Oryzias latipes: one gene and its partner. The main gene of each other region encodes a partner of the protein of the gene in region 2 in a complex. Links are inferred from orthologs where the notes say so. Each region holds a gene or a part of one and is shown on either strand. Other genes may lie near its edges. The genes, in order: spata5l1 and cinp.

What was found.
Region 1: cinp (region 2) and spata5l1 share a complex: the UniProt entries of both Homo sapiens proteins name them as parts of the 55LCC heterohexameric ATPase complex. The link is inferred for Oryzias latipes from reciprocal best matches to the Homo sapiens genes CINP and AFG2B.

Annotation. Positions count from the first base shown.
Region 1 is NC_019861.2:12,886,562-12,899,365, forward strand, and holds spata5l1 (spermatogenesis-associated protein 5-like protein 1), read left to right. Parts: upstream 1-4,797; 5' UTR 4,798-5,129; coding exon 5,130-5,735; intron 5,736-5,800; coding exon 5,801-5,986; intron 5,987-7,637; coding exon 7,638-7,922; intron 7,923-8,004; coding exon 8,005-8,190; intron 8,191-9,759; coding exon 9,760-9,918; intron 9,919-9,994; coding exon 9,995-10,204; intron 10,205-10,296; coding exon 10,297-10,524; intron 10,525-10,608; coding exon 10,609-10,743; intron 10,744-10,839; coding exon 10,840-10,965; intron 10,966-12,091; coding exon 12,092-12,229; 3' UTR 12,230-12,292; downstream 12,293-12,804. Other genes in the region: NAD(P) transhydrogenase, mitochondrial, read right to left, coding at 1,581-1,768, 1,872-1,960, 2,047-2,134, 2,224-2,423, 2,499-2,728, 3,374-3,503. UniProt on the Homo sapiens protein: ATP-dependent chaperone part of the 55LCC heterohexameric ATPase complex which is chromatin-associated and promotes replisome proteostasis to maintain replication fork progression and genome stability.
Region 2 is NC_019880.2:158,635-171,438, forward strand, and holds cinp (cyclin-dependent kinase 2-interacting protein), read right to left. Parts: upstream 5,487-12,804; 5' UTR 5,303-5,486; coding exon 5,269-5,302; intron 4,714-5,268; coding exon 4,563-4,713; intron 3,165-4,562; coding exon 3,035-3,164; intron 2,485-3,034; coding exon 2,355-2,484; intron 2,218-2,354; coding exon 2,015-2,217; 3' UTR 1,959-2,014; downstream 1-1,958. UniProt on the Homo sapiens protein: Component of the DNA replication complex, which interacts with two kinases, CDK2 and CDC7, thereby providing a functional and physical link between CDK2 and CDC7 during firing of the origins of replication.

The DNA of each region.
Region 1 (12,804 bases), on a different chromosome or scaffold from region 2:
TTAAAAACAATTTCATTGAAAGACTTTTTTTTTTGCAAACAGTTCAACAACATTCATTTAACTTCTGCTCAAAACGAAACTAAATATTTCAGATGCAAGTATTGATTACATCCCCAACCACGTCAACTATGAATCGGTTATAATTTTGTGAAATTTTGGAGATAAAAAAAATGTACTCCTAAAAATATGTAACAGATAATAAAATCACATGATTGCTCTCATCCTCTGGAGTTACAGGATTCTTATGAAACACTAACGTTTAAAAAGCGCTTCAGATGAGTTTCCAAACTGTCACAAGAGTCCATGTGAAAAAAGAAAATGAAATTAAACCTGGCTCCATAAAATCATATACACATTTTATAGGCTCTTATTTACAGTGTGAGCCCTGGAGAAGGAGTTTGAACTTCTCTCCTAAGAGTAAATGGTTGTTTGTCTAACTTGACGCTGTCTATCTCTGCGGCAATGTGGGATCTTTCTATAGAAGTATAGAAAAGTTATCTGAAAATTTTGTGTGAGAATAGAAAGTTAACTTACTATGTGGTAATTACTTTACTTTTTATTTATACATTTTCGCCAACAGGCTAAAGCCCATCAATAGGTAAATTCACACACTAAAATCACAAATGTCCCTAATTCTTCATATAAATATACCAAATAATAAAGAGGTGCATTATTTCAAATAATAAACAAAAGCTCCAACAATGTAATTATTTTAAGTTAAATGTCTTAGAACTGGAATTTTATTTTTTTAATTTGCATTATTTTTAGATTTTCTTCAGTTAAAGACCCACTCCAATAAAAAATGGGTTTTTGGTGTTTTTAACATGTTCTTGTGTCATTTTTCTCATGTTGGAGGACTTATATAAAAGAAAATAAAGCTTAAAACTGTATTTCTGAGTATGTCTTTATTCAGATGGATGGGAATTAGGAGCAGACTAAGAATTGTAGTTTGAAAAAGCTTGCAGCTGAGACGTGGAAGCCGCAAGCTCTCTGCTCGGCTCCATTCTGAAACATGAGTTTGCAGACTAACGGCTCTGTTTTCGTCGTCTGAGCTGACATCTGGCTAGCTCCAATATTGCTCGCCATATTTGTTGCACCGATAATGTTAGGTTAAGGGTGTGGGGGGGCTGTAAGCTAGTGGGAGAGAATATATACAGATGGATGATGGGAAATGGGGACAGGCTCACTTCACAGCAACAGTCCTGCCTACAACTCTAACGAACCCCTCCTGCTCTGCAGAAACTATAGAAAATGACAGGTTTTATTTTGGCGAAAAACAGCGTAATCATTAGAAAAGAACCACTAGGAACAATTTAAAAATAGATGAAAAGATGGTCAGAGTGGGACTTTGAGCGTTTCCAGTTAACTAAGTTCTGGTAAAAAAAAAAAGGCAAAGTGAAAACTCTTGCAGTTTTGGCATCAATGGTAAAATATTATAATATGAAAGAAAAACAGAACATTCATCACTTTAATAAATCAAGTTTGTATGTTTTACTTGGTTTGGAAAACCACCGCTGTGATGAAGTTTGAAACATTTAATCTTAAAGACAAAAGAGCCAGAACATTTCAGTGCGACTGACCTGGAATCAGGGCAGTGCTGATCAGAATGTCGACTTCCTTACACTGCTTTGCGAAAAGGGCCATCTCAGCCTCAATAAACTCTTTCGACATCTCTTTGGCGTAACCTCCAACCCCCTCGCCAGACTCTTTGATCTCCACTTCCAAAGGCTCTGCCCCAAAGGACTTGAACTGCTCCAGAGCTGCTGGCCTGACAGCCAAGAAACAGTCCGCTTTTCGTCAAATAACCAAATACATCAACACCGAGTCTGTAGTCTCAAATGAAATGTGTTTTTTTCTCTTTCATCTCATACCTGGTGTCAAACCCCCTGACGATGGCTCCCATTGACTTGGCGGCCCCCGCCGCTGCTAAACCAGCCACTCCGCCTCCAATAACCAAGACCTGTGGGAAAACAAAAACATCTCCGGACACAGTCCACACCAAGCTTTTGATTTGTAAATGAAAGTATTTACGCAGCTGCCAGGTACCTTAGCAGGTGGTACTTTTCCAGCCGCTGTGATCTGTCCGGTAAAGAACCGGCCAAAGTGGTTGGCAGCCAAAACAACAGCCTTGTACCTGCAAAATTTAAAGCCCAGCTCTCATTTTCCCACATTCCTGAAAAGCTTCACGGGCATGAATCTGTGAGGATCTGGATGCTTTGTTACCCAGCGATGTTAGCCATGGAGCTGAGAGCGTCATAGCCCTGAGCGATGGTCACTCTGGGCACCTGGTCCATGGCCAACACATTGCTCTGCCTCTCTGAGAGCTTCGCCATCAGCTCTGGGTTCTGGGCTGGATAGATGAAGCTCACCAATGTGGACTTGGGCTTCAGCAGATCGGCTTCGCTCAAACTAGGGGCTCGAACCTGAAGACAGAACAAAGTCATCGTAAACGCAAGAGACGTGAACAAAGGGAATAACGGATAAATGACAGCTACAACCTTCAGGACCAAATCGGATCCCAGAGCTCCCTTAACGTCGGTAATAGTGGCCCCTGCATCTTTGTACTGCTGATCAGAGAACTTGGATTCATCTCCAGCTCCACTCTCAACCTGAACCTTGAAGCCCTGTTTGACCAGCGCCTGAACCCCAGCAGGAGACAACGCCACACGCCGTTCACTATGCGCCGTCTCCTTGGGAACTCCAACCACCAGGTCCTTGTAGGGCACACCTAAAGACACAAACAATCTGAGAAGTAATTCTGCACCTTTACCAAAGCAAACCCTTTCAGACTGAACACAAATCAGATGTTATAGGAAACATTTGTTTGGTTTTTAGGCCACATTACATGCATGCTGGGACAGCGTGGCCTGGAGCGGCGTCAGGTTGCACATTTCTCTCCGTAAATGGCATGGCGACCTCTCCGTCACAGTGACATAATTAGCAGGTGATTGGCGCTCGGCCACCATGCACACACGCTGAGAGCCGGGTCTGAAAACTGAAACTTTAAAGCTTTTTGTGTCTCGTAAAATTCTCACAAGACACTCTGCAACAAGTGCTCTGGTTTTCAATGAGCAAACATCTGCCAGCAGACTCAGCCAGGCAGCAATTTAAGTTTGACATGTCACCTCAAAGTGACCTCTCACTCGCTCTAACATGTTGGTAGCACCTACAGGTCAGCCTGGGAAGCTGCTCCACAACAGCAGCCCTATTTTGGGAAACATCTTAAGCAACAGCAGGCAAACTAACATGGATGTTTCCACTTTTCGCTGGGGGAAAAGGGTTGTATTCAAGTAAACTGTTTAGGTATAGATCCTTGACCAGAAATGCAGCAAAGTTCAAATGACAGATGTCCTAAGAGTGCAACATGTCCTACCTCTAGGAGCTTTTTGGTCCCATAATGCTGGGAAAACCCTGAAATGCCTCCTTCCAAGCGTCTGCTGATGGGCTCTTCTATGGGACAGAGCTAGACAGGAGCTGGAGATGGACCGCAGGAGGGTCGACATGTTCACCGAGCGTCCGCCCCGGGGGACTCCTGCTGCCTCTCTACTGTGAACACCAACAAGCAGAGATAGACGACACTTAAGCACAGCGTCTGCATTTGCCCTCAAACAACAAAGGACATTGTAAGCTCCTCAGTGAGTCTTAAATCCCAAATGTCCTGGTAGCGCGCTCGGGCCGTCTACAGACAGGAGAGTGACACTTCTCTGCAGGACACGCTCCCACAGGCCCTGGGTTGATTACACTCCTGCCTGCAGTTATGACGGAAGGAAAGTGTGCCAAGTTTGGCCTGAAGGTGTGAGCATAGATTAAAGGAAAGAGCTCTCAGATGCAGGACAGAGGATAACTTGTGGCCTAAAAAATATATTTGTGCAACAAAAGTGGATAAAAAGTTATTTACTCATTCAGAGACTTTAATAGTCTATTGCTTTGATTAACTTTAATAGTCTAATTCCCATGAATCCCTTTTTATATTAAAAAAAAATTGGCTAATGTCATTATTATCAGACTTGCCTTTGAAATTTTCAAAAAGGTGTAGTTTAAAAATTCAACCCTTCATGGGCATCAGGGTCACCTGTGAGACGTCCTACCCGAAAACCCCCGCGTGCCCTCGCGCAGACGCAGACGGACTGCCGACCTTCCGCAGTTCCCATATCTTTTGATATAAATAGAACCCACGTGACTTTTATTATTTAAAAAAAACGCAGCTATAGTTAAGTGTCGTGCTAATGACCAGCCTGTCTGGAGTAACAAAGAAACACTTTTTATACTTTTTTTAAATGTTCCGAAGAGAATTTCTAAGAAGGAAGGTTTTTTTTTCTCTCTCCTTTTTTTCCCCAACAGGTTGTAGTTTCTTTTATGAGCACAGGATGGCGTCATGGGGCCGCTAGCATACAAAATGTTGAACAATTATGACCCCTTTCTTAAAATGTTAAATTTTTTGCAATATATGTCCTTAAATACTTTGGAGGGGGGATATGTAATTTAATTTAAAAATTTTCAACACAGGAAAACATTTCTTATAGATCCCCTAAATTATATCTAAAGGTTCCAACTCCTTATACTACATTAAAAAAAATACTAGTACATTCTAATTAGAAAATATCTTCAATACACAAACATTTTAATGTGCACAGAAGATACTTTCTGTATATGCGTGCATGTGTTTGTTAAAAGGAGTAATTTCTATAGGTCTATATAAGTACATTTTAAATAAAATATCGGTACTTAACTTCAGCTTAAATACTAGAAAGTACAGTATTTCGGAATTCGGTAAGTTACTTACAATGACTAGAAGTTGTGCTTTAATCGTATTTCCTCTCACGCAGGAAGCGGTTTTGGTTGGCCATCTTGATTTTTCCGGGACCATGTGGATTTGTAAACATTAGCCACTCATCTGCAGCTAACGCCGCTTCCATGCTTGTTTTTAACAGATATTGATTGGTATCAGGCGTTTTCTGGTGTAGTATTATATTACAGTTCTATGTTTTTTTATATGTCGTTTTTTTTTTTAAATTTTGTACATCTAGCTTGCCGCGCGCCCTTTCGCTAGTCTTAACCCTGCATGCAGCTGCTGTGTGTTACTTATTCCGTTCTGAGTGAGTGACAGAGTATCACTGGCAGATTACCTGATGGACTCTCATGATCCTCTGATGTTGCTGGCCGTGGATCCCTCGGACCGAGGCTCGCAGAGGTGCAGGCTGGGTCCGGGGTTGATGTCGGCGCTGGGTCTGAGTTTGGGCTCCCCGCTGTTGGTGCATGTTCCCGGGGGGAGCTGCCTGTGCACCGCATGGCCCCGCTCCGACTTGGCAGAAGGATTTCTGCAGATGGACCGCAAATGTTTCACTCCTGGTTTGATGATCTTTCCTCTTCCTCCGCGCTTGAACATCGAAGCAGCTCAGCTCACACCTCTGCCCTGCCCCAAACTTCGAGGCGTTAAAGTGACCGTGGTTGTTCAGACTGTGGGGTTTAAGAAGCACACCAACCTTCACATCGTTCACGAGCTTGTAAAGGACATGCTGAAGGGAGTCACTGTCCACAAAGACTTCGTGATAAGCCTGGAACATTTCGATATAGACATCAAATATGCTGTAGTAGACGGCATAAATCCAGATTCTGCAACCGCAGGAATGATCACCCCAAAGACCAGTGTGGAGATCTCCAACATCCAGACTGTCAGGCATTTCAGGAGTCAGCTGCAGGACCAGCAGACCATCCCACTGGGAGGATTGGAAGAGGTCAGACACTCACTGAGGATTTAACCTCCATCTTTGCATTACGTTTATTCGTACCTCTTCTGTAGGTGACTGCATCCCTGAAGGAGATGCTGCAGCTGCCACTGCTCTATCCAAGAATCCTGAGCTCAGTTGGGGTGACCTGTCCCAGAGGCATGCTGCTGGTGGGGCCTCCTGGGGTGGGCAAGACTCAGTTAGTGCAGAAGGTTGCAGGAGAAGTGGGAGCCAGTCTGGTTCCGGTCAGAGGCCCAGAGGTACCAGTACAACTCCTTAATGTCTCATTGCTTTCATGTTTTGGGAAAGTCAAAAACTGAATCTCATTTAGCTTCAAACGCCAACCCTAGATTGATGATCAGATCTATAAATGCATGATTGTTACTCATTGGGCTAGTTGACAACTCAATTCAATATCAATTTGAGCATGATTGATCACAGAGCCAATTATTTGTCATATTTTTGTTCCCAAGCCAATTTTGTGTGGTTATGAAAAACTGTTTTCGTTAATTAGTGGTTTAAAGACCTGATTTCATAAAGATGGTGATGCATCAGAATGGAGTGGAGCAAGGAGCTTGTAGACTGCAGATTGTAGCTTCTACACCGCTACAAGCGTTTTCAAACAGTGCAATTTGATTAAAACATACTCAGAAATGCAATTTTAAGCTCAATTGTCTTTGTATATGTGAAAAATGCCATAAGAACATGTTAAAAACACAATTTTCATTAGTAGGTCTTTAAAAATTGTGTTTAAAGTGTAAAGGCCAAACCACGTTACAACCATCTAACTAGCTTACAAATGAACTTAAAGATTCTGTCTTTCTTAAAAGAAGTTTTAATTCTACTTTCCTGGCACAAGGAAATATGTGATAATATCACAATATCAATAGCTTAACCAGTGTCTAAAGTTTTATGGTTGTTTGTTTCATATAGGAACATCAAACAACAGATATGGGTTCACACGCATTGAAACTGAGGAGATAATTATCTCTCTGATTAGTAAGCAGCAATAATGGGTCATAAATGAAAGAAATATTATCTTTGTGGACAAAGTTGATGCCAAAAAAGAAGAGGCATTATGTTAAGGAAGGTCAGTTCCAAATGGGCTGATGCAAAGTGGGACATTTTCCTTTGGTCCCAGAAATCCTTCAGCAGGATGTGGCTGTTTGGCATCTGCAACGTTTCTGGAGAAAGAAGTTTGTTTGTTTAAGTGCTGCCAGTTCATTCTGATGCTGCTACCCTGGAGAAATATGGTTTAGCAAGAAACCAGAAAATGCATTAGACCCTGCAGTTAAGCAACCAGAATTCTGTGTAGATGAAGAATAGCAGAACATTTCACAAGTCCAAAACTTTCAGAATTTTGCAACATCTGGTCTCCTCTGTGTGGTTTGATTAAATTGCAGACAGTCCTTTTATTTCAACATTTGGAGAAAAAAAAGTATTTTTTGTGTTATGTTGTCCTAAATTAAACCGTTTTTGCATCGTTATATTCATATTTTATTTACTTTTTACACAAGATGTGATGTTTTGGAAAGAACATTGGTGGTCTCTTAGACTGCCAAGAATTCAAGCAGAAAATAAATCATCCAAGGACGTCAAATGATACACTAACATTTTCTGTTTGTTTTGTAAATACTTTGTGGTTGTTTGATGTAACAAAATCTTCCTTAAAATAATGTACATTACAGAGAAAATAAATCTCTTTCTGCTTTACAATTAAAATAAATCTTAACTAATCAAATTTTTTTGATTAGTTTTGATTTCTAGAATAGTGATGTTAATATTCACTGTTGCTTCATGATCAATATCATAGCTTCTCCTTTTATTTTGAAATGTTTATGATTAAGAAAATATCTTATTCTGAAGAAAACACCCTCATAAACAGATGGGTATTTGGAATGGTCTTGTCAGTTGGTGGGTTCCCGACCCGGCGAGAGCGAGGCGGCGCTGAGAGCCGTGTTTGAGCGTGCTCGCTCCGCAGCAGAGGACGGCCCCTGCGTTCTGTTTCTGGATGAGCTGGACTCACTGTTTCCCAGGAGAACTGCCTCGTCGGCGCCGGAGAACCGGCTGGTGGCTCAGCTTCTCACCCTCATGGACGGAATAGATCAGTCTGACCGCTTCCTGGTCGTTGGAGCCACAAACAGACCAGACAGTTTAGACCCAGCGCTGCGCCGGCCCGGAAGGTTTGACAAAGAGGTAGGGGTTTCCGTTTATCTGCTTATGCAAGTTCATGTCATTCTGCCCGTGGATTCATCTGATTTCTTTTGTTTTATATAAGGTCGTCATCGGTGTTCCCACCTTGACTCAGAGGTTGGCCATCCTAAAGGTTTTGTTTGAGAAGATTCCTGTGTGCCCCACTGTGAACCTGGCTGAGCTCGCACAAAGAACGACTGGATACGTCGGAGCCGACCTGAACGCGCTGTGCAGGGAGGCAATCATGCACGCTGTGAGAGAAAACGCAAAGGTAAACACAGACAAACACACCAGCTCCCCATCAAACCCCGCAGAATGCACAAAACCCTTTTAGGTCGAGGTTTTTCACCGAATTAAAATGCTGAGTTATAGAAATGGTAAAAGAGTTGCCATCTGTGGATTAATCCAAACAAAATATAAAAAAATTAAGTCTTTTTGCATCAAATGACATTACACAAACAGCAGCCCAACCGATTGTATCACGAATCAGCAGTTAACAGTCTCTGCTAACATAAATGAACTGTCACTGTTTATCATTGGAAGATCTCAGAAAGGGTTAAATTAGGGCTAGAGGATATGAGGAAACTCGCAATTTGCGCTATAAGTGATCAATATTGCAATGACGATAATTTGCAATACATAGACAAGTAGTAAAAAACAAAACAAAAGCCTAATTTCTATTTTGCTGCAACAATTTAATTTAAATAAGAGTCAACATAACTTGTACTCCAAATGACTCATCTAAAGGAGGCGAACCCCTAACAACAGAGGGCTCCATCTGATTGGTCAACAATCTGTAGAAGCCCATCCAATGGATTTATTTGATTTGTTAAATAATTCAAGCTGCCATAAGATTTTTTAGATAACATTTAAGGTAACTATTTATCGCTATTGTCGCCGTCTTATGCAATATGGCGATAACGATGAATTTCCGATTTATTGTGCAAGCCTAGTTTAAACCTTTCAGTTAGCCTAGTCAAAAATAATCTGTGAAAGACATGGCCACACTTCTGCCTCTGAAATAATCTGGATTACTGGAATGTGGCCATGTCTTGGCTATTGCATAAAAAGCCCAAATCATTATGTTTCCACTTCTGTGCAATTTACAGTGATGGCTTTTTTTTAAAATCTTAAATAATTTGGTGTGTGGTGGTTTAATTTTCAGATTATTCTGTTTTGCAATAAAATTCTTAAGTCTGATCACATTTGGAAATTTAATAGACAGGAGACACGGCAGGGAGGAGATTGATTAACACGGTGGACTGTTAAAGAAAAAAAATGTGCAAAATAGCACAGAAAAATATGGGCCAAAGATACAAAAGAGGAACCATGGTTTTGCGAGGGAACACTGTATACTGATCCCTCATTGTCGAATGGACAGAAAATTGACCTTTGACCTGCTCAGTGGTGAGGGAGGAAGTTTCCAGGAAGGATTATTATTATTATTAGTCAATCCAGTTGACATGAGCTGCAGGTTAAAGACGCTTTCTGGATTAAATGGTACACCTTCGAACCTGAGATTATTAGTGGATTGAACAGTGAATTGTGTTTACCAGCAGCCGTTGTCCTAACGTTGGCCTGAAAAGCCATCCGGTGGCTCCAACAGCAGTATGGTGTTGTTGCCTGAAGGCTGTGAAGATCCGCTCAGTATTGATCTATAACCCAATTAGCTGCAAAATGTTTCTCCAAAGTCTTCACAGCCATTTGAATTCTGTTCAACGAAAAAAAAAATACCGTTCCATTTTAAAAAGTCATTCGGGGCATTCAGCATTAGTACAAGTGTTAGTTTTGTTAGTAATTTTTGGCTGTGCCTCCTTTTTTCTGTCTTGTTGTCTGTCAGGGTTCAGCAGAGCAGAAGGTGGTCATGCGGCACTTCGAGGAGGCCCTGAAGGTCGTGAGTCCTTCCTGCCTGCGCAGCAGTCTAGGCAGGACAGATCTCCCTCGGGTGCTTTGGGAGCACATAGGAGGCCTGGATGAAGTCAAACTCAAACTAAAACAGGTAAATAAAAGTGTGGCATTGTCAAAATGATGTAGCTAATGAATGTATATGATTATCCTTTTATCTTGTGCACCAGAGTATTGAGTGGCCAATGAAACACCCTGAGGCGTTTGTTCGTCTGGGTCTGTCACGGCCCCGGGGTGTGTTGCTATTCGGACCCCCGGGGTGTGCAAAGACCACCCTGGTTAAAGCTGCAGCCACCTCATCCAGCTGTGCTTTCCTGTCGGTCAGCAGTGCTGACCTCTACTCTTCTTACGTCGGCGACTCAGAGGCGGCCTTAGCTCAGGTCAGGCTCTAAAGGTTTGATATAGTCTGCGACAGATTTGATTCCTTCCTGCGGTTGGGTCCATGCGTGTGCTTCTGTCTGTGCATCTGCAGCTGTTTCGCCAGGCCCGCGCCTGTGCTCCCAGCATCCTGTTCCTCGACGAGATCGACTCTCTGATTGGCTCCCGGTCCACCAACGAGACACAGAACAGCGAGCAGACGCGTCTCCTGTCCGTGCTGCTGAATGAGATGGACGGGATCGGTGTAAAAACAACCGAGAGGAGGGGGGCAGAGAAGACTCTGCAGGCAGAGGGAATGACCAAGAGTGGAGCACAGGAAGAGGTCCGGCGAGGAAGAACCGTGTCTGAAAGCCTTCAAAGCTCCGAATGAGTCCTCATCTCATCAGCTGTGTTTTCTCTGTTACAGTTGGAGTGGGAGGAAGTGTGCAACAAAGACGTGATGGTTGTAGCTGCGACCAACAGACCAGACTGCTTAGACAGCGCCCTCCTCAGACCAGGAAGAATGGACCATATTATTTATGTGCCGCCGCCCGATCAACAGGTACATTTCGTATCTGAAAGCAGAAAACAAACAAAAAAGTGTTGAATCCCACATTTTTATTTCCAGTTTCTCCAACTACCTGTGTTGTGTTTCAAGGCACGGTTGTCCATTTTGAGGGTGTGCACAAAGCGGATGCCCATCTGTGCAGATGTGAGTCTGGAGGAGCTGGCGGATAAGACTGAGCTTTACTCTGGAGCAGACCTGGAAAATCTGTGTAAAGAGGTAAAACTGTCCCAGGCAACTAATGTCTGTCAACAAATATACATTTCTATGTTGGAGTTTGAAGGGAAAAGTAATCTAAGCCTTTAAAGATCCACTGCGATCATCTTTTGATGTATTGTAAAACCGTTCCCAGTTTTTTTAAATTATAATGATGCAGTTTTTAGCTAAAATTTAAAAAAATCTGTGTTGTTTTCTAGGACATAGTTTCTGCAGAGAAACAAAAGTTTATTAGAAATTTGCCTCTGAATCGCTGGTGAGACTGTTGGTGCCCCCTTCCCATCACCCATAACTGAGAGCTCTCTGTTTACATGCTTTCCTGCTAACTTACAGCCCCTCACAACTCCAAACTGACTTAACCGTTGCAACAAAATTGGCGATCTATAATGAAGGTATCCAGCCGTAAAGTTTTAAAACTGATGCCGGCTCAGATGAGGGCAACGGAGACGTGCGTGCACCTGGATGTTTCCAGGCAGATGCATCAGCATGGAGCGCAGCAGGGAGCTTGTAGCACATTGTCTACTAAACAAATATGACCTTTTTTATTAAAACAGCATTTTATTTGACTTTTTTGAAAAAAATTAAGAAATACTCACAAATGCAATTTTCAAGAAGAACATGTTAAAAACACTCAAAAAAAGACTTTGATCAGACTGGGTCTTTAGTTCCCCCTTTTGCTCTATCCCACGACAACAGAAAAAAACACTTATCCAGGCTTTTTCAGCAATGAATAAACTATCGTAATTATTGAAGGCTGCCTTCTCATCAGTGTCAGAACATCTCCCCATACACAGCTGTTTCATCCACTTCCTTTTAGTTTTTATTTTGCTTAATACGATTTAATTCTTAAACCATAAAGCAAATAAAATGTCTAAGTTTAAAATAAGTAATGTATTTAGTCTATTTATTAAATGCAAAGTCTTGATATGGGTGAAGCATACTGAGAATACGACAGCCGGGACAACAGCCATCACCTGCATTTAGAACGTTTTTGGTCTTGCTACTTAATTTTGAAAATATCTTACATTGTAACTCTATGTTCCTCAGTTCTACGAGGGCAGAACGAACCTACAGAGAAAGAAAAATACATGAAAGCAAAGTTTGTTTTCTGTTCCTTTCTTTTTACCAGGCTGCTCTTTTGGCGCTACTGGAGGAAAACATGAAGGCTTCAACGATCAAACGTGCACATTTTCTGGATTCACTCAGCAATATGAGGCCTTCACTCACTGCCCAGCAGATCCAAGCATATCTAACAACCCCCAGATAACATTACCCTCTTCAGTCATGGATGTGATACTTATAGGTTTCAAATAAATATTGAAAAACTCTGTTTAATGTGTTTTTTTTGTTATCTGTTACTACACAATTAGATAAGAATGCCATTTTAAAAGTTTCGGGGAGATTGACAATGAGAGCACTGCTGCCTGGTGCCGGAGCTTCAAGAGGAATTTCACACAGGACAATTGTTGGTTTCAGCATTCCCCATATCAAGACACTTATTAACCAGAGGTATTACAGTGTCAACTGCTGTTGTTGGTCCAACTACTACACTCACAAACTCTAATAACAGCACTTTATGATTATCTCTGCTGACCAGCCTAATAGACATGTTGGTGGCATTTACCCAACACTCCCCAAACCGCTGGCCAGCTCCTGCTTTAAGTATCACCATAAACTCAACGGACTGAAACCCCAAAAGCTAATTCTGCAATGATGGGACATGGACAAGCGACACAGAAGATGTTCAGGCCACTTTCAGAGCAACTTCCATAACATCAGAGAACCGTGACAAACGGATCAGCTTTCATCTGAAGCAGGGGTCTGCAGCCTGTGGCTCGGTGA
Region 2 (12,804 bases):
TTAAGGACCTCATAGTCCCTTACCATCCAATCAGAACACTTCACTCACTAAATGCAGGACTGCTTGTGGTTCCTAGAATTAGTCAAAGTACGGTTGGAGGTAGAGCGTTTAGCCACCAAGCCCCTGTTTTATGGAATAGTTCTCCATGTCTGTGTTTGCTGCAGTGATTCATGGACTGTCCCTCTTTCCTTCTTTCCCCTCCTGCTCCTACACCTGGCTGTGGTTCCTGTCTCCGGCTCGACTCCCCCCCCCCCCCCCCCCCGACTCCCCCCCAACCACGGCTGGATGAAGCTCGTCTGCTGGACTTCATATATGTAGTTGTAGATTTAGATAAGTTAATTCTTCTCTAAGAGTTCTGTAGTCACCTGAAACGGTCTTCCAACAGTCTTAAAGGAGTTCCCAGAATGCTTAGCACTTGTTGGCCCTTTTGCCTTCACTCTGCGGTGACTGTGGAGGCCAGGTCATCTGGTGCAGCCCCCCATCACTCTCCTTCTTGGTCAAACAGCCCTTCCACAGCCTGGAGGTGTGTTTGGGGTCATTGTCCTGTTGAAAAGGAAATGATGGTCCAACTAAACCCAAACTGGATGGAATAGCATGACTATGATGCAAGATGCTGTGGTAGCCATGCTGGTTCAGTCTGTCTTCAATTTGGAATAAATCCCCAACAGTGTCACCAGCAAAGCCCCCCCCCACACCATCACACCACCTCTTCCATGCTTCACGGTGGGAACCAGGCGTGTAGAGTCCATCCGTTCACCTTTTCTGCATCCCACAAAGACACGGTGGTTGGAACCAAAAATCTCCCATTTGGACTCATCAGACCAAAGCCCAGATTTCCATGGTCTGATGTCCATTCCTGGTGTTCTTTAGTCCAAACAAGTCTCTTCTGCTTGTTGCCTTTCTTTAGCAGTGGTTTCCTAGCAGATATTCTATCATGAAGGCCTGATTGACACAGTCTCCTTTGAACAGTTGTAGAGATGTGTCTGCTGCTAGAACTCTGTGTGCCATTGACCTGCTCTCTAATCTGAGCTGCTGTTAAGCTGCCATTTCTGAGGCTGCTGACTCGGATGAACTCATCCTCTGCAGCAGAGGAGACTCTTGGTCTTCCTTTCCTGGGGGGGGTCTGCATGTGAGCCAGTTTCTTTGGAGCGCTTGACGGTTTTTGGGACTCACTTGGGGACACTTTCAAAGTTTTCCCAAGTTTTGGGACTGACTGACCTTCATTTCTTAAGGTAATGATGGTCACTTGTTTTTCTGTACTTAGCAGCTTTTTTTTGTCCATAATCCAAATTCTAACAGTCTATCCAGTAGGACTATCAGCTGTGGATCCACCTGACTTCTGCACAACACAACTGATGGTCCCAACCCCATTTATAAGGCCAGAAATCCCACTTAGTAACCCTTGTGCTATCCTAGCCACTTCACCATTGGGAGTGGGTCATCTAGACCCACCAGACAGTGCTCTGAACCTTTTTTCTTCAATGATTTGTGATCTTCACTGGTGTCCATGGATTACATGAAATCTTTCCACCTTTATCCACCTTTGTCATGGTAGGGAGAACACCTCACTGTAAGGGGGGGGGGGGCATAGGATAGCACAAGGGTTACACCTGACAGACACACCTGTGAAGTGAAAACATTTCAGGTGACTACGTCTAGAAGCTCATCCAGAGAAGGACAAGAGTGTGTAATCAAAGCTAAAGGTGGCTACTATGAAGAACCTACAATGTGACATATTCTCAGTTGTTTCACACTTTTTTGTTGTGTATATAATTCCACGTGTTCATTCATAGTTTTAATGCCTTCAGTGTGAATCTATAATTTTCATAGTCATGAAAATAAAGAAAACTCTTTAAATGAGAAGATGTGTCCACACCTTTGGTCTGAACTGTACGTCATGAAGTTCTGGAGAGAGCAGGTCAGGTTGGGCCTGGTTCTGGAAGCGTCACTACAGTGGATCAGGTTCATTTCATTTTAATGTTTACAGATGGAAGCAGAAGGTCCGACCCGCGGGTCACAGTGGGCGGTGTCCGGTTTCCAGCAGCAGAGCCTCTAGGGTGATTCTGCTCTGGGCGGGGATGCAGGGCTGGTGGAGCCAGCAGGACAGGTAGACCATCGAGAGGTCAGAGGTGGCGGCGTGGGCCAGCTCCTGCGAGATGACCCGCCTCAGCTTCAGCTCCTCCGAGAACGCGGCGAGCATGAGCCGCGATGCATCCTCTGAAACAACAGAGGAGCCGTGTTACCATGGAAACCAAAGAGCTGCCACTCCATGGATGGACCTCGGCTTCAGTCGCACATCGCACTGGAAGCTGAGCTACACCGCTGAGCGTGCCGACATCATCAGGCAGACTTGCCAAACTGTTTGGTGGTCCAGCTGTGGAACAGGGGAGCCGCTCCTCCGGCAGAACCAGAACGTAGCTCCTCCAGCTCCCGAAGCGCTTGCTGCGATGCCGCCAGGCGCTCCATCCTGGCCACTATGGCAGTCTGAGCAAAAGAGGACATCAAAGACGCACGTTAGATTCCCAGTCCAGAACTGAGGGAGGGGTGTCAGACGACAGGAACAAAGAATCCTGATTCTTTGCCTCGGGCTTCTCCCTCCATTTAGCCCTGCAGGCGGAGAGTTCTGGAAAATAGAGTCGTCAAATCTGGACGTTGCTACAGTTAGACGACGTCACGAATAGTCGCCGTCAGCGTGTAGCTGCCAGCATTCGGAAAACATGATGTCGCTTTGATAACTTTATAAAATCGTTAAATGACATTTCTGAGCGTCAGACCACGCCCACGTGAAGAAAAGCCTCTCCATGGTACAGCACGCCGCCGAACGCCCTACTGGCGGAGGGTCGCTACGTCTCCCCCTAAACGAACACTCTCGGACACCACTATGGCTCCAAATGCTCCTAAATTTGGAGCAGCAGGGAGGAGCCAGAGGTGTGGCTTTGGGTCTGTATGTTCTGGTCGGTCACAGCAGGTCCAGTTCTGGTTCCGATGCATTCCTCCTCTTTTATTCAGTGCCTTCAGGTCTGAAGGAACTCACCATTTTCTCCACGATGTCCAGCAGTTTGAGGCACTGAGCCTGCAGCTCTGCAGCTCCTGAGGGCTGCAGGGTCGCTGAGGAGGAAGACGATGATGAAGCTTCAGGAACCAGCAGCTGCTCATGTTGAGACCTGAGGAGCACAGGACGGGTCAGAACCTTCTGAGTGACGGGCAGGACATTAGTGCACGCTGAGTGGCAGGAGACACCTGCAGGTCAAACAGGTGTAGTCGGGCAGAACGCTCTGCAGACGGACAGGAAGTGAGCTGAAGGCGCGCAGACATGGACTTCCTGTGATGTCATATGTAGCTACCTGATCTGGAACGGCTCGCCGATTGGTGCCCGCATGTGGGAACGTTGTGTCACTTCCTGTTTGCGCCAACATTGTAGCCATTGAGCAACATTATTTAGATATGCTTCTGTAATTCGTATGTTTGTTCTTCCGAGGTGTAAACTTTGTGATTCAATGTTGAATAATTAAAAAAAATAATTAAAAAGATCAGTTCTGAGTAACATCATTGATATTTTCATTGTCTGTGAAAAAAACAACATACATGTATGTAAAGAGTAAATACATGTACATACAGTGTACATACATGTATATACATACATGCATGTACACTGCTGCATTACAGCGACGGTCTTTTAGTTTTGGGCGCTGTAATCGGGGGGGGGGGGACTTCTCTGCTGTTTTTTTTTAACTTATTCTGTCCAACAGCTGAGCAAACTATGACGGAGTATTAGGGCCACCAAAAAAAATAAATAATAAAATTACGAGTTTTTTTCTCGTAAATGTACGAGATAAAATGTCGTAATTTAACTTTTTTTTTGGTGGCCCTAAAACTCCGTCGTAGCAAACAGATCAGAGCTGAAGGCCTTTTTGTTGGACAGGATTTACTACAAAGAGGTTATAGAACTCCAGAAACCAGAGTGTAGATTTGAATAAACCCCTTTTTGCTACTTTATTATTTTTTATTTATTAGTTACATTTAGTGTGTGTGTGGGGGGGGGGGGAGTAAAGGGAATAGAGGTGAAAAAGTGGGGGATAAAAGCACTGATTTGAATAAGTTATTATATTAAGCTGTAACAATTCTACCAGATCTGCTGGAAAGACAAATGTTACATCCAAGGTGAAAATCTGAAGACATCTGTCCATCAAGACACTGTGGGTTGGGGGGGGGGGGCAGACAGGGAGCAGTGTGCACGTGCAGGTGGGGGTGGAGATACATGCACGCTGCCAAAGTGAACCGTGTGTTCATAAGGGGAACCAGATCCTCCCCAGCCCGACCAGGAGAGGGGGGGAGGGAGTGTCGTAAAGGAGGCTGAGCTGTCGGGAAATGTTAACATTTATTTTGATAATTTAACAATGAATTACAAAGTTTACCATCTTGGAACAACAAACATACGAATTACGGAAGAAAATCTAAATAAAGTTGCTCAATGGCTACAATGTTGGCACAAAGAGGAAGTGATGTCATCTTGGAGGGACCAGTACTTCCTGTGACGGCGTACGGTCTAGAAACACAATCACCTCTTGATGTTGACGATGTTGGTTGCGACGTCAAAGCCGTCCTCGCTCAGTTTGTCCCACCTCAGCATCAAGTTGTGCCAGTCGGCAGCATTATCTCTGACCTTTCGTGCACTTCCTGTGACTGCATGGCACTTCCTGTTTGATGATCTCCCTGTCAAACAAACACCCTGGCATGAGAACCCTGCAGACTTACAAAGCGTGGCTCCGTGGAAAATGCTGTTTTTGGTGTTTTAACGTGTTCTTGTGGCTTTTCTCTGATGATGGAGGACATTTCTAAAGAAATTTAAGATTCAAACTGCATTTCTGAGGATTTCTGTATTCATATCATTGTCATTCAAAAAGCTTGTCAGTGTGATGTGGAAGCCACTACGGCGGGCAGAGGCTCCGCCCCCTTCTGATAATCCACCTGCAGATAAACATCTTTGTTTTCTGGATCTAAACTGTACGCCTGGATAGATTTCTGTTCCACCACTAATATCAGGGTTTGAGGGACTGTAAGCTAGTGGGAGAGAGTGTGAACAGATGCCTGATGGGAAATGGGGGCAGGCTTACTCTGCCCCAAAAGTTCCCCCCAAAACACGGAGGTGAATTTCTAATGAAATCCGGCCGCTCTGCAGAAACTACGTGTTAGAAAACGACATCATGAAAAGACGACCAGGAACGACTAACAAGGTGACCTTCAGTGAAGATCCACTTCATGCCTCACCAGCAGGTTCCCACAGTGAAGCATCATGGGACATATCGTGCTGCAAAGTTGAAGAAGGCGGAGCTTGAAGGGGGTGGGATACAGTAGAAAGAATGTGGTGGAGAGGTGAAGGTGGTGTTTGGATCAATCTAATGAGGGAGGAGAGGCAGACTAATGCTTCATGGTGACTCTAAAGTGTCCCTAGGTGTGAGTGTGCATGAGTGTGTGATTGTGGCCCTGCGACGGACTGCCCACCTGTCCAGGTTGCCTCCCACTTTCACCCACGAGTGGCCAGGATAGGCTCCAGCAGCCCCATGACCCCAAAAGGGAACAAACATGAATGAAAGATGAAGACTAAAGCAGAACATGAGCTCCACCTTTACAGTCTGGAGGTCAAACTAATCTGCTGCTCCCTATAGGGGGCGCTGCAGTGACTCAGCCTCCTCCCTCATGTCCTCCTTCATCCATGAACCTCCTCTTTCCTGGTGTCTCCAGCCTCTCCAGCCTTTCATCATCATCATCATCATCATCCCTGCTTTCATCTCCAGAACATCTATGATCCTGGTTCCAGAGAGAACCTCAGCATCTTCATCTCCTCCTCCTCCTCCTCTCTCTGGCGGCTCTCACCAGTCTGCTACACCTGACCTTTGGTCACACCTGAAACCCTCTTCCACCCGCTGCCCCCCCCCCCCCCCCATCCACCTCTGGACTGTTGAAAAGCCCCCCCCCTCCCTTCTGCTCCCCGGAACCCCGCCGCTTTTCTTCCGTTCCTGTCGTTCACGAACGAAGTGTTCTTTTTTCACGATACTACTCGCTCAAATTCTGCATAGTTGGGGTTGACGAGTCACGTGACCGGATGTTCCCACCGTTTCCAGAAAGGACTCGTGCAGACGCCAGTCCTTCCGTGTTTGGTCCTCTAAGCTGGATCTGATTCCACTCACCTTCCATATCGATCATCTGGACCCCCCCCCCCCCGGAAGGGTTACGTTCTTCTTCTATGGTTAGCACGGTCCACAGCGCCCCCTTCCGGTGTGGGTACCGGATGTTCTCGGGTTGCCGGATGTTCTCGGGGTCCTTCAGGGTCCTTCCAATGAGTTATATCACTAGAGGAGACATCACGTGGTTCCTCATAGGAGGAGAGCACCGCCATCTTGGTGAGGTCAAGTTTTGAAGACCAAACCACTTTTTATAACATTTAATAAAGAGCTCTGTTTTTACTTTCAATCACTTCATTATATGAAAAAGAAGAATGGCTTGAAATTGCTTAGTTTTGTTCAGAAATACAAACTTCACGAGTACCCCTAACTTAACTAGTATTAGACTATTTAGATTTTTTCTATGTTCCTTTATTTTATTTTACTTATGTTTTTATTTATTTGTGTGTTATGTTCATTGTTTCTTTTTTCCCCTCTATTCTTTATTTTCTATGTTAATATATTATGTTTGGCAATGGTGACTGATCTTCGAAGCAATATTCATTACATTGTTATTGTTCGTTGTTAACGTTAATGTCATTGTTAATGTATGATACCGCAATTGTCAATAAAGTTTTTAAAAAAACTTAGCGACGTTAATTCATTGGTCGTGGCAACTTACAGCCAATCAAATAGTGCGACGTCATCATTGGTCGAAGGACCCCGAAGGACCCCGAGAACATCCGGTAACCCGAGAACATCCGGTACCCACCCCGGACGGCGTGTTGTATGCGACCAAAGGACCGCCAGTGCAGAGTGGAGCCACCAAAACAATGGCTGAGATAATAAAAGCTTCTCAAAAAAGTATTTATTTAAAAATTCAAAAAATCCGTAGTTGCAATTATACTCTGACTATCTCAACACAGATAAAACAAGAAACGGAAACAGAAGAAAACAGGAAGGCCGACATCCCAGCTTTCATTCTATTGGCAAATATGTGGGTTAAGATTTTATAGTCGTTATTAAGCAGGGTGGGAGCCGGTTTAGCCCGTGCTGGTTTGCGGCGCCTTCCGTCCGTGAAACCAGGGTTCGACTCCGAGCTGCTCCCTGTTCCCTTCTCTACCTCTGCCGGTTCCAAGCCCGGTTTGAGAAGGTTGCGTCAGGAAGGGCATCCGGCATAAAACATTGCCAAGTTTACCATGCGACTTGTTCGCTGTGGCGACCCCTGATGGGAGAAGCCGAAAGTGGAAGAAGATTAAGCAGGGTAATCGGTCTCAGATTATCAATCAGAAGAGGATCTTTGCCAGATTTAGGAATGAGAGTTCTGATGCCTTGCTTCATAGATGTTGGTAGAGAGTGTGTGTTAGTTATTTCCTTCAGTGTCAGGTAAAGCAGCTCTTTCACATGTTCCCAGAAATGTCTATAAAAATTAGCAGTCAGCCCATCTGAACCTGGAGATTTGTCTAAAGTTAAGCATCTTATAGCATCTTCTACCTCTGACATGGTGATCTCTGCCTCACAAAGCTCTCTGCAGCCATCATCTACTTTAGGGACCAAATGTTTGATTTGTTTTAAAAAGGCTTCAGCATCATGGAGGGCGTATGAGGACGAGTATAACTCACTGTAGAACTGAAACATTTCTTTTGTAATTATTGTAGGATCTGTCACTCCACATCGTTCATTAACAAAGTTTTTACAGTGTTTCGCTCTTGATTTCTTTTTTCCAGTCTACAGAAATATGCAGAACTTTTTGAAGAATGTCCACCACAAGCAAGACTGGGGGAGAAAATACAAATAGAAATCATAGCACAAAACCCTATTATTGAAGAGACATTAAAGATCTGGTGGAGCATGGTCAATAAATACAACATAGGTGGAGATTACAAACTACTTATCTGGCCCTCACAATCTCAAAAATATAGAACGGGACAGACGGACAAATGGAGTGACAGAGGAATGACGGCAGTGTGCATGTCAACAGACGGAAAATTGTTCAAGTCCTTTGAAAGGCTCAAAGAGGAGTTTCAGCTGGATACGGCTGACCTATTCAGGTATTTCCAATTAAGGCACTTCTACAATACGGAGATTAAAAAATATCTTCGTCAAGACGGAAGCAAGTTAATAGAAATGCTGATGGGGTCTTATAAGAAGCCTCACTCAAAGGTTGTTTCCAAACTGTACAGATGCTTGTTAAACTGTAATGGATATAACTCTCTGTATATAAAACAAAAGTGGGAATCAGAATGACAAATTTCACTGTCAGAAGATAAATGGCATTCAATCTGTGGACTACAGCATAGCTCCACATGTTCTAGAAAATGGAGAGAATTTGGATGGAAAAACTTGACAAGGTTTTTTATTAGTCCTCACATAAAGAGTAAACAGCTGGGAACCTCACAACAATGCTGGAGGCTATGTGGGGACTTCAACGTTAACCATTCACACATCTTCTGGTCATGTGGAAATATTTCTCCTTTCTGGAAAATTATGGTCAAAACTTTTCAGGATATCCTTGGATGTGAGATAGTTATGGACCCACAGATATTGTACTTTGGCCTATCGATGGACGTCATACGACCAGAAGACAAATACCTGTTCAAGGTGATGATACTAGCCTGTAAAAAGGCAATAACAAGAAACTGGTTGAAAAGTTTTGAATTGTTTTATTGAACCAGCTCAGTCCACACGAACCCTGATTCCGTGGATGTAGCCCACCGCTCCTCTGTAGTACAGAGTGATGTAGCCCACCGCTCCTCTGTAGTACAGAGTGATGTAGCCCACCGCTCCTCTGTAGTACAGAGTGATGTAGCCCACCGCTCCTCTGTAGTACAGAGTGATGTAGCCCACCGCTCCTCTGTAGTACAGAGTGATGTAGCCCACCGCTCCTCTGTAGTACAGAGTGATGTAGCCCACCGCTCCTCTGTATTACAGAGTGATGTAGCCCACCGCTCCTCTGTAGTACAGAGTGATGTAGCCCACCGCTCCTCTGTAGTACAGAGTGATGTAGCCCACCGCTCCTCTGTAGTACAGAGTGATGTAGCCCACCGCTCCTCTGTAGTACAGAGTGATGTAGCCCACCGCTCCTCTGTAGTACAGAGTGATGTAGCCCACCGCTCCTCTGTAGTACAGAGTGATGTAGCCCACCGCTCCTCTGTAGTACAGAGTGATGTAGTCCACCGCTCCTCTGTAGTACAGAGTGATGTAGTCCACCGCTCCTCTGTAGTACAGAGTGATGTAGCCCACCGCTCCTCTGTAGTACAGAGTGATGTAGTCCACCGCTCCTCTGTAGTACAGAGTGATGTAGCCCACCGCTCCTCTGTAGTACAGAGTGATGTAGCCCACCGCTCCTCTGTAGTACAGAGTGATGTAGCCCACCGCTCCTCTGTAGTACAGAGTGATGTAGCCCACCGCTCCTCTGTAGTACAGAGTGATGTAGCCCACCGCTCCTCTGTAGTACAGAGTGATGTAGCCCACCGCTCCTCTGTAGTACAGAGTGATGTAGCCCACCGCTCCTCTGTAGTACAGAGTGATGTAGCCCACCGCTCCTCTGTAGTACAGAGTGATGTAGCCCACCGCTCCTCTGTAGTACAGAGTGATGTAGCCCACCGCTCCTCTGTAGTACAGAGTGATGTAGCCCACCGCTCCTCTGTAGTACAGAGTGATGTAGCCCACCGCTCCTCTGTAGTACAGAGTGATGTAGTCCACCGCTCCTCTGTAGTACAGAGTGATGTAGCCCACCGCTCCTCTGTAGTACAGAGTGATGTAGCCCACCGCTCCTCTGTAGTACAGAGTGATGTAGCCCACCGCTCCTCTGTAGTACAGAGTGATGTAGCCCACCGCTCCTCTGTAGTACAGAGTGATGTAGCCCACCGCTCCTCTGTAGTACAGAGTGATGTAGTCCACCGCTCCTCTGTAGTACAGAGTGATGTAGCCCACCGCTCCTCTGTAGTACAGAGTGATGTAGTCCACCGCTCCTCTGTAGTACAGAGTGATGTAGCCCACCGCTCCTCTGTAGTACAGAGTGATGTAGCCCACCGCTCCTCTGTAGTACAGAGTGATGTAGCCCACCGCTCCTCTGTAGTACAGAGTGATGTAGCCCACCGCTCCTCTGTAGTACAGAGTGATGTAGCCCACCGCTCCTCTGTAGTACAGAGTGATGTAGCCCACCGCTCCTCTGTAGTACAGAGTGATGTAGCCCACCGCTCCTCTGTAGTACAGAGTGATGTAGCCCACCGCTCCTCTGTAGTACAGAGTGATGTAGCCCACCGCTCCTCTGTAGTACAGAGTGATGTAGCCCACCGCTCCTCTGTAGTACAGAGTGATGTAGCCCACCGCTCCTCTGTAGTACAGAGTGATGTAGTCCACCGCTCCTCTGTAGTACAGAGTGATGTAGCCCACCGCTCCTCTGTAGTACAGAGTGATGTAGCCCACCGCTCCTCTGTAGTACAGAGTGATGTAGCCCACCGCTCCTCTGTAGTACAGAGTGATGTAGCCCACCGCTCCTCTGTAGTACAGAGTGATGTAGCCCACCGCTCCTCTGTAGTACAGAGTGATGTAGCCCACCGCTCCTCTGTAGTACAGAGTGATGTAGCCCACCGCTGCTCTGTAGTACAGAGTGATGTAGCCCACCGCTGCTCTGTAGTACAGAGTGATGTAGTCCACCGCTCCTCTGTAGTACAGAGTGATGTAGCCCACCGCTCCTCTGTAGTACAGAGTGATGTAGCCCACCGCTCCTCTGTATTACAGAGTGATGTAGCCCACCGCTCCTCTGTAGTACAGAGTGATGTAGCCCACCGCTCCTCTGTAGTACAGAGTGATGTAGCCCACCGCTCCTCTGTAGTACAGAGTGATGTAGCCCACCGCTCCTCTGTAGTACAGAGTGATGTAGCCCACCGCTCCTCTGTAGTACAGAGTGATGTAGCCCACCGCTCCTCTGTAGTACAGAGTGATGTAGCCCACCGCTCCTCTGTAGTACAGAGTGATGTAGCCCACCGCTCCTCTGTAGTACAGAGTGATGTAGCCCACCGCTCCTCTGTAGTACAGAGTGATGTAGCCCACCGCTCCTCTGTAGTACAGAGTGATGTAGCCCACCGCTCCTCTGTAGTACAGAGTGATGTAGCCCACCGCTCCTCTGTAGTACAGAGTGATGTAGCCCACCGCTCCTCTGTAGTACAGAGTGATGTAGCCCACCGCTCCTCTGTAGTACAGAGTGATGTAGCCCACCGCTCCTCTGTAGTACAGAGTGATGTAGCCCACCGCTCCTCTGTAGTACAGAGTGATGTAGCCCACCGCTCCTCTGTAGTACAGAGTGATGTAGCCCACCGCTCCTCTGTAGTACAGAGTGATGTAGCCCACCGCTCCTCTGTAGTACAGAGTGATGTAGCCCACCGCTCCTCTGTAGTACAGAGTGATGTAGTCCACCGCTCCTCTGTAGTACAGAGTGATGTAGCCCACCGCTCCTCTGTAGTACAGAGTGATGTAGCCCACCGCTCCTCTGTAGTACAGAGTGATGTAGTCCACCGCTCCTCTGTAGTACAGAGTGATGTAGCCCACCGCTCCTCTGTAGTACAGAGTGATGTAGTCCACCGCTCCTCTGTAGTACAGAGTGATGTAGCCCACCGCTCCTCTGTAGTACAGAGTGATGTAGTCCACCGCTCCTCTGTAGTACAGAGTGATGTAGCCCACCGCTCCTCTGTAGTACAGAGTGATGTAGCCCACCGCTCCTCTGTAGTACAGAGTGATGTAGTCCACCGCTCCTCTGTAGTACAGAGTGATGTAGCCCACCGCTCCTCTGTAGTACAGAGTGATGTAGCCCACCGCTCCTCTGTAGTACAGAGTGATGTAGTCCACCGCTCCTCTGTAGTACAGAGTGATGTAGCCCACCGCTCCTCTGTAGTACAGAGTGATGTAGTCCACCGCTCCTCTGTAGTACAGAGTGATGTAGCCCACCGCTCCTCTGTAGTACAGAGTGATGTAGTCCACCGCTCCTCTGTAGTACAGAGTGATGTAGCCCACCGCTCCTCTGTAGTACAGAGTGATGTAGCCCACCGCTCCTCTGTAGTACACATGTTTCCCTGCTGCTCGAGCTTCTCTGTCAGCTTTGGAGAAATCCTCCTTGAAGACGATTCCCAGATTCTTACAGGTTGAACAATTCTTGGTTTTTCTCCAGATGGAGTCTCTGTGATGACCTGTCGGTGTCTGCCCTCCTACTTTCTCCCCAACCGATGAACCAAATCCACCACCATGTACATCTTCTCTTTCCAATCCGGAGCGATCTGGGTCAGGATTCCAATGATGACATCTCGGATGTTCTCGTCGTCTCTTTCTTTTAACCGTTGAATCTTTAGGTTCCATCGCCGTTTGAATTTTTCCATTTCAGTTACTTTTTCTTTTAAATCCTTGTTTTCTTTAACAAGTTGTGGAACTTCTTTTTCCATCTCTTTAATCTTCCCCTTGCATTCCTTGATCTGAGCTGCATTCATTTCCACGAGTCAGGAGATGTTTGCCACCATGACGGAGTTTTCTTTTAGCTGATGTCCAAAGTCTTCAATTCTGCAGGTTAATTATTCAATGGCAGTGATTAAAGTTTCGTTCAGAGATGAAGCAGACTCTTGAACAGTTTTCATCTTAGTAGGCGGAGCTG